Callithrix jacchus: one gene and its partner. The protein of the gene in region 1 interacts with the protein of each later gene in a biochemical or structural test. Links are inferred from orthologs where the notes say so. Each region holds a gene or a part of one and is shown on either strand. Other genes may lie near its edges. The genes, in order: ATR and ATRIP.

What was found.
Region 2: the proteins of ATR (region 1) and ATRIP form a complex in vitro, tested with the Homo sapiens proteins (4 studies listed by BioGRID and IntAct, with this or other methods). The link is inferred for Callithrix jacchus from reciprocal best matches to the Homo sapiens genes ATR and ATRIP.

The regions. Positions count from the first base shown.
Region 1 is NC_133518.1:42,054,143-42,057,961, reverse strand, and holds part of ATR (serine/threonine-protein kinase ATR), read right to left. Parts: coding exon 3,671-3,819; intron 1,717-3,670; coding exon 1,524-1,716; intron 1,281-1,523; coding exon 1,018-1,280; intron 1-1,017. UniProt on the Homo sapiens protein: Serine/threonine protein kinase which activates checkpoint signaling upon genotoxic stresses such as ionizing radiation (IR), ultraviolet light (UV), or DNA replication stalling, thereby acting as a DNA damage sensor.
Region 2 is NC_133516.1:31,091,040-31,095,288, forward strand, and holds the start of ATRIP (ATR-interacting protein), read left to right. Parts: upstream 1-1,365; 5' UTR 1,366-1,474; coding exon 1,475-1,721; intron 1,722-4,249. UniProt on the Homo sapiens protein: Required for checkpoint signaling after DNA damage. Required for ATR expression, possibly by stabilizing the protein.

The DNA of each region.
Region 1 (3,819 bases):
GGTGTAGTGGCACACCTATGGTCCCAGCTACTCAGGAGGCTGAGGTGGGAGGATCACCTGAGCCTGGGAGGTCAAGGCTGCAGGCTGCAGTGAGCCATGATCACGCCACTGCACTCCAGCCTGGGCAACAGAGCAAGACCCTGTCTCTTTAAAAGAAAGAAAGAAAGAAAGAAAGGCCGGATGTGGTAGTTCATGCCTGTAATCCCAGCACTTTGGGAGGCCAGAGTGGGTGGATCACCTGAGGTCAGAAGTTTGAGACTAGCCTGACCAACATGGTGAAACCCTGTCTCTACTAAAAATCCAAAAACTAGTTGGGCGTGGTGGCGCATGCCAGTGATCCTAGCTACTCGGGAGGCTGAGGCAGGAGAATCGCCTGAACTGAGGAGGCGAAAGTTGCAGTGAGCTGAGATCACGCTATTGTACTCCAGCCCGGGCAACAAGAATGAAACTCCATCTCAGGAAGAAAAAAAAAAGAAAAGCACATTTCTGAAGAAGATCTTAGCTTTATCGTTAACCTTATATTACAAGATTTAGGGAGTACTTTCCATCTTTTCAAAAACTTGAGAATGAGTTTCAGCTTGCTGCCTAAACAAATTTATCTTCTAGGTATTTTTAGAAATCTCATGCTCCCTAAAAGCTTATACTCCATTACCACTGGAAAGTGGACAAGAAGATACACTCTATAGTTCTCAGTTGGGCAAAGTAATCTAACTATTTGAAGTTCTCAAGGTCCAAGGTGGTAACTGCGGACACATTAAGAAGGTCTCTGGTGTCCCTAAAGAAGATATAGAATATTGAATCTTACAATATTGAAACAACCATCAGGTATGCCCCATTTAGGTTGTCAAATCACAAGAGTATTCAAAAAATCCCCAAATCACCTCTCCTATGGGTTCTGTGATCTATCAAGCATGTAACTTCCTATAGTTTTTCAAGGCTTCAGCCTAATTCTTTTACTGATTTGAAAAACAGAGCTTAAATGGGTTTTAAAATATTAAATAAGTCATAATCACTCACCAAGTTTCACTGGACTAGGTGTTTTTTTTTTCAGTAGAAAAAGGAAAGCCTTGCAAACAGAAGCTTTTAGTGGAGAAGATGAACATTCATGTTGAGAAGTGGCTTTCAAGTTCCTACAGAAGAGGTCCACATGTCCATGTCCAGAGAAAGGTTCTGTTAAAGAACTTGTCAGATAAAACATGCCATCAAGAGTACAGACAAGCTGACCAAGTATAGAAGCAAATTCTTTCTTGACAATGTCAGAATCATCTTTGACTTTATCTCTGGGGGAAAAAAAAGAAAAAGACTAAACCTCCTTGCCTAATTTTGTGGTATAAATAGTCTTGCTTAATTTGGGACTAAGGTACTGGTAAAACAAAGTCTAGAAGGAAAAAATGTTAAATTCTAAAACTAAAAGCAACATTTGCTTTACATATTCAACAATAAACATAACTTTGCATATACAGCCAGAGAATTATGATCTTTCCAATTGAGTAATATATTCAAATTAAAATCTTAGTACATACATAAGAATCTTAGGAATTCTGTTACAAGAATTCTGCTGCTGCAATAAGATAAAAAATCCACGAACACAACTAGCCCGGATTACTTCATGGGAGCTCTGCAGGGCCCAGTTGTAAACTGCTGTTCTCCATTCAAGGAATATTCTTCTTGGAAACAGAGTCAAAAGAAACGCACATCGTGATTGTGCCTGTGGTGCTGAAAAAAATTAAGTCTATTAAACAAGATTTCTACTAATGTTAATTTTACATATACACATATACATATACACACATACATATATAAGTAACATTTGTGTATATATATAAAATAAAAGTCAATTAACTCCAAGACATTTTTTTCCCTAGAAAGCAAAAATTTTGAAGTCTGCTAAGTATCAGTGAGGATGTGGAACTCTCATACTCTGCTAATAGGAGTGTAAACTGGCCTATCTTTGGAGAACAACACAGCAGAAAAGTGGTGAAGATGTATAAACTCTATAACCCAACAATACTACTCCTAGGTAGACAGATATGTTAAAATAGTACTTCTCAAACTTTGATATGCATATGAATTACCTATCTTGTTAAAATGTAGATTCTGATTCAGTAGGTCTGGGTAGAGCATAAGATTCTCCATTTCTTTCTTTCTCTCTCTCTCTCTTTTTTTTAATGTGCTCTCTAAGCAGAAACAGGGATGCTCCATTTCTAACAAGTCCCTAAATGGTGGCAATGCCACTGGTCTGTGGACCATACTTTTCAAACAGCAAGACCTTAGAATGACTAAAGAATAATTTACAAAAGTATTCATTTACATTTTGCTTATAATTGAGAAAAGTTGGAAACAACCTGATTGTCCACCAATAGGAGGTCTGATAGTGTCTAGCCATACATCTAGCTACTATTCAGAAGTTTAAATAAAATACTAGAGTTACCCATATCACCATGGGATAAGTCTTATAAAGATTAAATCATAGAGGGACAACGGGCTTCCATTGTATCTCTAATATTTTTATTTCTTTTTAAAAAAAAAATTTCATGAAGAGAGGGAAGGGTGAAGTGAAACTCACTTCAAAACACTGTAATGGTTTTATTTCTTTTTTCTTTTGTTTTAGAGAGAGTGAATCATTCTGTCGCCCAGGCTGGAGTGCAATATATAATGTTGGCTCACTGCAACCTCTGCCTCCTGGTTTCAACAGATGCTTGTATCTCAGCATCCCTAGTAGCTGGGACTACAGGCACGAACCACCACACCTGGCTAATTTTTGTATTTTTAGTAGAGACAGGTTTTGTCATGTTGGCCAGGCTGGTCTCAAGCTCCTGACCTCAAGTGATACGTATGCCTTCGCCTTTCAAAGTGCTGGGATTACAGACATGAGCCTCTGTGCCTGGAGTAATGTTTTTATTTCTTAATCTGAGAAGCTAGTATAAGAATTTTTGGTGTATTGTTCTTTTTAAAATATTTCTCGCCAGGCACGGTGGCTCACGCCTGTCATCCCAGCACTTTGGGAGGCTGAGGCAAGTGGATCACCTGAGGTCGGGAGTTCAAGAGCAGCCTGACCAACATGGTGAAACCCTGTCTCTAAAACAAAAAAAAATTTCTCAAATATTTCCTAATTTTACTAATAAATATAAAAATATGTACAGAAACACTGCAAATGTTTTACAGAAAGGAAATGGGATATATGGGACAGGCTTTTATAGGTGGTACTTTTTATGTATCTAACTCCCTTCTGATTTATTAAAAATGTACCTGCTCTCTTATTGAAAAAATATAAGTGATAAGTGTTAGAAGTCCTATACAGAGATGAGTTAAAACAAATCACACTGAGCAACAGCTGAGTATGGCGGTTCACGCCTGTCATCTTAGCACTTTGGAAGGCTGAGGTGGGCAGATCACTTGAGGTCAGGAGACCAGTCTGGCCAAGAGGATGAAACCCCATCTCTAGTAGTAATACAAAAAATAGCTGAGCATGGTGGTGGGCACCTGTAATCCCAGCTACTCAGGAGGCTGAGGTAGGAAAATTGCTTGAACCCAGGAGACGGAGGTTGCAGCAAGCCGAAATCATGCCACTGCACTCCAGCATGGGTGACAGAGTAAGACCGGTCTCAAAAATGAAATGAATAAATAAATAAAACAAACCACACACAAACATATTCTTGTGAACACTTACAATAGCTGTCTGAAATCCTCCGGCTTAATGTTAGAAGACTAGTGGCAAATGTGGTCAACTTTAAACAGCCATCATCAGAATGGGAATAAATCCATGGAAGTGAGAGCATTCCACACAAATCTTCCAGAATATGATCTTCAAATGAACTG
Region 2 (4,249 bases), on another chromosome or scaffold:
GGGGGAAGCCTGCGTTGGTCCTCTCCAGAAAGTTGCATAGCCAGTAGCACCCTTCTTTAGGCTTCAGGCATTCCCTATGGGGCCTTGCCAGGTGGCACCCAGCCCTATGCTGCTAAAACAAACCTGAGCACCAGTGATTCACACTGTTGCTGAGAGCAAGTTACTTAGTGGAACCTATCCCTCTTTAACAAGTGAACAATCCTGTCTCTTTCCAAGACCAGAGTCCTGGAGCAACTGAGCATGCAACATTTGGGCAGCTGAGGGAGACTTACCAGTTACTCCAAAAAACTTTAAACTCCTTAGATGTTGTAGACCCTGATAGCAATCTCCCTTTCATTTAATCTTCCTTTTATATAATGCCTTCACAAACACTCCTAGGACACTCATGAGTAAAGTTTGGCATTGAGCAGGTCAGGTAAGGCTGAAAGAGTCTTGCTCCTGTTACTCTACACCGCCAATTCTCTATTGCAGCTAACTGTTCTGCACACCACTGCTGCCCAGTAAAATTTGTCAGTCACGCAAACCCAGCTCAAATTGCTGCTCCTTTGTGAAATTTTACCTCTGTCTTCGCCTCAGCTAACTCTTACCTGGCTTTTGTGTGGCCTCCCTCTCATGTGCCAGCCCTCTATCTTGCTAACTTCACTTAACCTATACGTCAGCCCAGGTGCCATTTACAGGGGGACTACTTTGACCTCTTGAGCCTCATTCCATACAACCAGAGCTTAGGAAAAAAACATTCCACCACTCAGAGGAATTAATGTTAACAGCCTGAGCAGCTCCCACCCCCTCCCACACAGGAACATTTCCAAACATCACTCCTCCTTGGACTTTTCCTCCCTGTACTTTCCTCCTCCCTGGGCCTACCTCAAATGTAGGCATGTGAAACATTCACTATTCCCGAAGGTGTCTGCACACGACAGCTCTATTCATACTCCTCACCCATCATATTCCACTCTCCGCCTCAAGAAAGCCTCGGGGTTTGTGGGAGGTGGGTCTGCCGGGAGAACGAAAGCGAGGTCTCAGAGACCACATTCCTGAATGCTGCCTGGCTCGACGGAAACGCAACATGCGTGACTGCTAGGGCAAGCTGCTCCTGCGCGGCCCTCCTCCACGAAGTGCCAGGGAGAGAACGCAAAGCCACCCGCGCGACGGAGCTGGTGCGCCTCGGATCCGCCCGCCTCTCCGATAACGCGTCGCGCCGCACCTAAGTCTTCGTCGCAAACCTGCAGAACCTCTGCCCCTGACCTCGGAGCAGCCACCTAGCCGCCCGGGCGTCCGCGGGGCGTGGCGGCGCACTCGGACGTTCGTCATTCTTCCGCGTCCCACCACCTGCCGGCTTATTGGCCTCTGAGCCGGGGGCGGGGCACTCGCGGCGGAGGCTAGCGGCGGCGCGCGGGCGGTTGGTCCAGTTTTCGGGGCTCGCTGCAGGCAAGTCAGGCTCGGCGCCGTCTGATACTTGGGGCTAGAGGTAGGCATGGCGGGGACCTCCGCTCCGGGCAGCAGGAGGCGAAGCGAGCCCCTGGCGCCTCGCCCTGGACCGCCGCCCCGCACCGAGCATCCCCCGAGCAAGCGGGCCCGGGGCTTCTCCGCGGCCACTGTCCCGGACCCTGACGACCCGTTCGGCGCGCACGGGGACTTCACTGCCGACGACCTGGAGGAGCTTGACACCCTCGCGTCACAGGCCCTGAGCCAATGTCCAGCCGCGGCTCGGGACGTGTCCAGTGAGTGCTCCTCGCGGCCTTTTTCCCGGAGGGAGTTGCAGACCGCTCCAAATCCCCCTGATGGCTGTGCCTTCGGAACCTCGGGGCCAGCACTTCCCTTTCGCCTTTTTAAAATATGGGAGCACCCTGATTTAAGCAACGGCTGTCTTCCAAAACGGCTGTCCTTTGATTTTAGGGGGAAATGCATCATCAAGGTCAAACAGCCGATTTGAAACAGAAGCTAGGTTAACATTTTATTTTCTAAAGTTTGGGCCACTTCATTCTTGATTCTAAGCAGAGATCCTGATCCTTGGAACACACCTACCACCACCATCATCATCACTACCCATGCATGGGGACCCATTCTTGTGACAAGTTTGAGAGGCTTTAGATCTTATGAAGCCCACTGTCTCCCTTCGGCAGTGTGAGCGTGGGAGGAGCGTGACACAGGCAAGAGATGAAATAAATTTATTCTTTTATACAACCAGTAAACTGTGCTAGGTGCCCAAATGTGAGGAACTGCAGCTGACCTAACAATGAACGAAATACAAAAACTCTGCCCTTCCTGGAGCTTTCATTCTGAGTGAAGCCTCAGGGACTCCCAGAAAGAGAAAGGTTTTGAGTGCACCTTGCATTTGTACTTGGCTGTCTCAAGGCATCTTAAACTCAACACAGTCATTTCCTGGAAACCCAGTCCTCCTTCAACATTTCTAGCATGGTGCCGGCAAAGCAGACATTCACACTATGATGACCAGATATTCCACAAGGAAGTAACTAGAACCACTCTCCAACCAGTGGCACAAGGCGACTCATCCCCTTTCCTTGACTCTACATCTAATTTCTTTGCAAAGCCTGTCAAGCTTACCTTCTTAATCCATCTCTGGAATCTATCCTGTTCACATCACTTCTGCCAACTGCCTGATGTATGCTACCATGAGTCCTCCCTTGAACAAACAGTCCACTAAATTGGTTTCCCATTTCCAATCTTGACTCCCTACAAGTGAGGCTTCACATCACATTCTGAGTGACCTTTTCAAAACTCAAATCTGGCTGTGTCTTACACAGATATACCTGAACACCCCTAATTTTATTTATTTATTTAGGTTTTTTTTTGAGATGGAGTCTCACTCTGTCACCCAGGCTAAAGTGCAGTGGTGCCATCTCACCTCACTACGACCTCCACCTCCCCGATACAAGCAATTCTCCTGCCTCAGCCTCCCGAGTAGTCTCAGCCTCCTGAGTAGCTGGGATTGCATGCGCCCACAATCGCACCCAGCTAATTTTTATATTTTTAGTAGAGATGGGGTTTTGCCATGTTGGCGAGGCTGGTCTCGAACTCCGGACCTCAGGTGATCTGCCCACCTTGGCGTCCCAAAGTGCTGGGATTACAGGCATGAGCCACCGTGCCTCACCATGAACACCCCTATTGAAAGCCCTTTAATGATTTCCCACTGCTTCTAGTATAAAGACCAAAATTTTTAACATGGCCTGCAAGGTCTAGCCTGGTTTGGCCCTTTCTCACTCTCTGGGTTCTGGCTACACTAACATTTCTTCATTCTTTTAATTCTTTCTGCTTCCTTACTTTATACATTGCTTTCTTTGTACATTGAGTATACTTTCTATTCATTCATCTCCAGTCATCTGGTTAATTCCTACTTGTCTTTCAGCTCCCAGCTCCTTCCAGTCTTCTTTAGGGAAATGTTCCAATCATCTCACTTAGGGCAGATTGCTGTCCTGTTACAGGCTTTCCTGTATTTGTTCTCTTCTACAGTTCTTATCACAGTTGTAATTTGACATCGATTTGTGTGATTATTTGTCGAATGTCCTTAAGCTCTGTGAGTGTAAGGACCATGTCAATTTTGCTCACCATTATACCTTTAGAGCCTAACATCATGCCTGGCATATTGTTTGTGGTCATTAATTATTGTTGATAATAAATAGATCACTTGAGTTCTGGCCAGTGAAATCTCCACAGCACCTTTCAGGCTTTAGGTGAGACTCTTGGAATTGGGTGAGGGATAGGGAAATAGTGATAGGATCTGTTATTTTAGAAGATCGTTTATGAGTTTTGGCTGGGCATGGTGGCTCAAGCCTGTAATCCCAGCACTTTGGGAGGCCAAGGCAGGCTGATCACTTTAGCCCAGGAGTTTGAGACCAGACTGGCCAATATGGTGAAATCCCATCTCTACTAAAAAATATTAAAATTAGCCAGTCATGATGGCAGACACCTGCAATCCCGGCTTCTCAGGAGGGTAAGGCATGAGAATCACTTGAAGCTGGAAGGCAGAGGTATCAGTGAGCCAAGATTGCGCCACTGCGCTCCATCCAGCCTGGGCAACAGAGCGAGACTCCGCCTGAGGGAAAAAAAAAAGAGAGAGAGGACCACCCTGGCCAACATGGTGAAATCCCATCTCTACTAAAAATACAAAAATTATCCAGTAATGGTGGTGGGCACCTATAGTCCCAGCTACTCAGGATGCTAAGGCGGGAGAATGTCTTGAACCCAGGAGGTAGAGGTTGCAGTAAGCCAAGATTATGCCACTGCACTC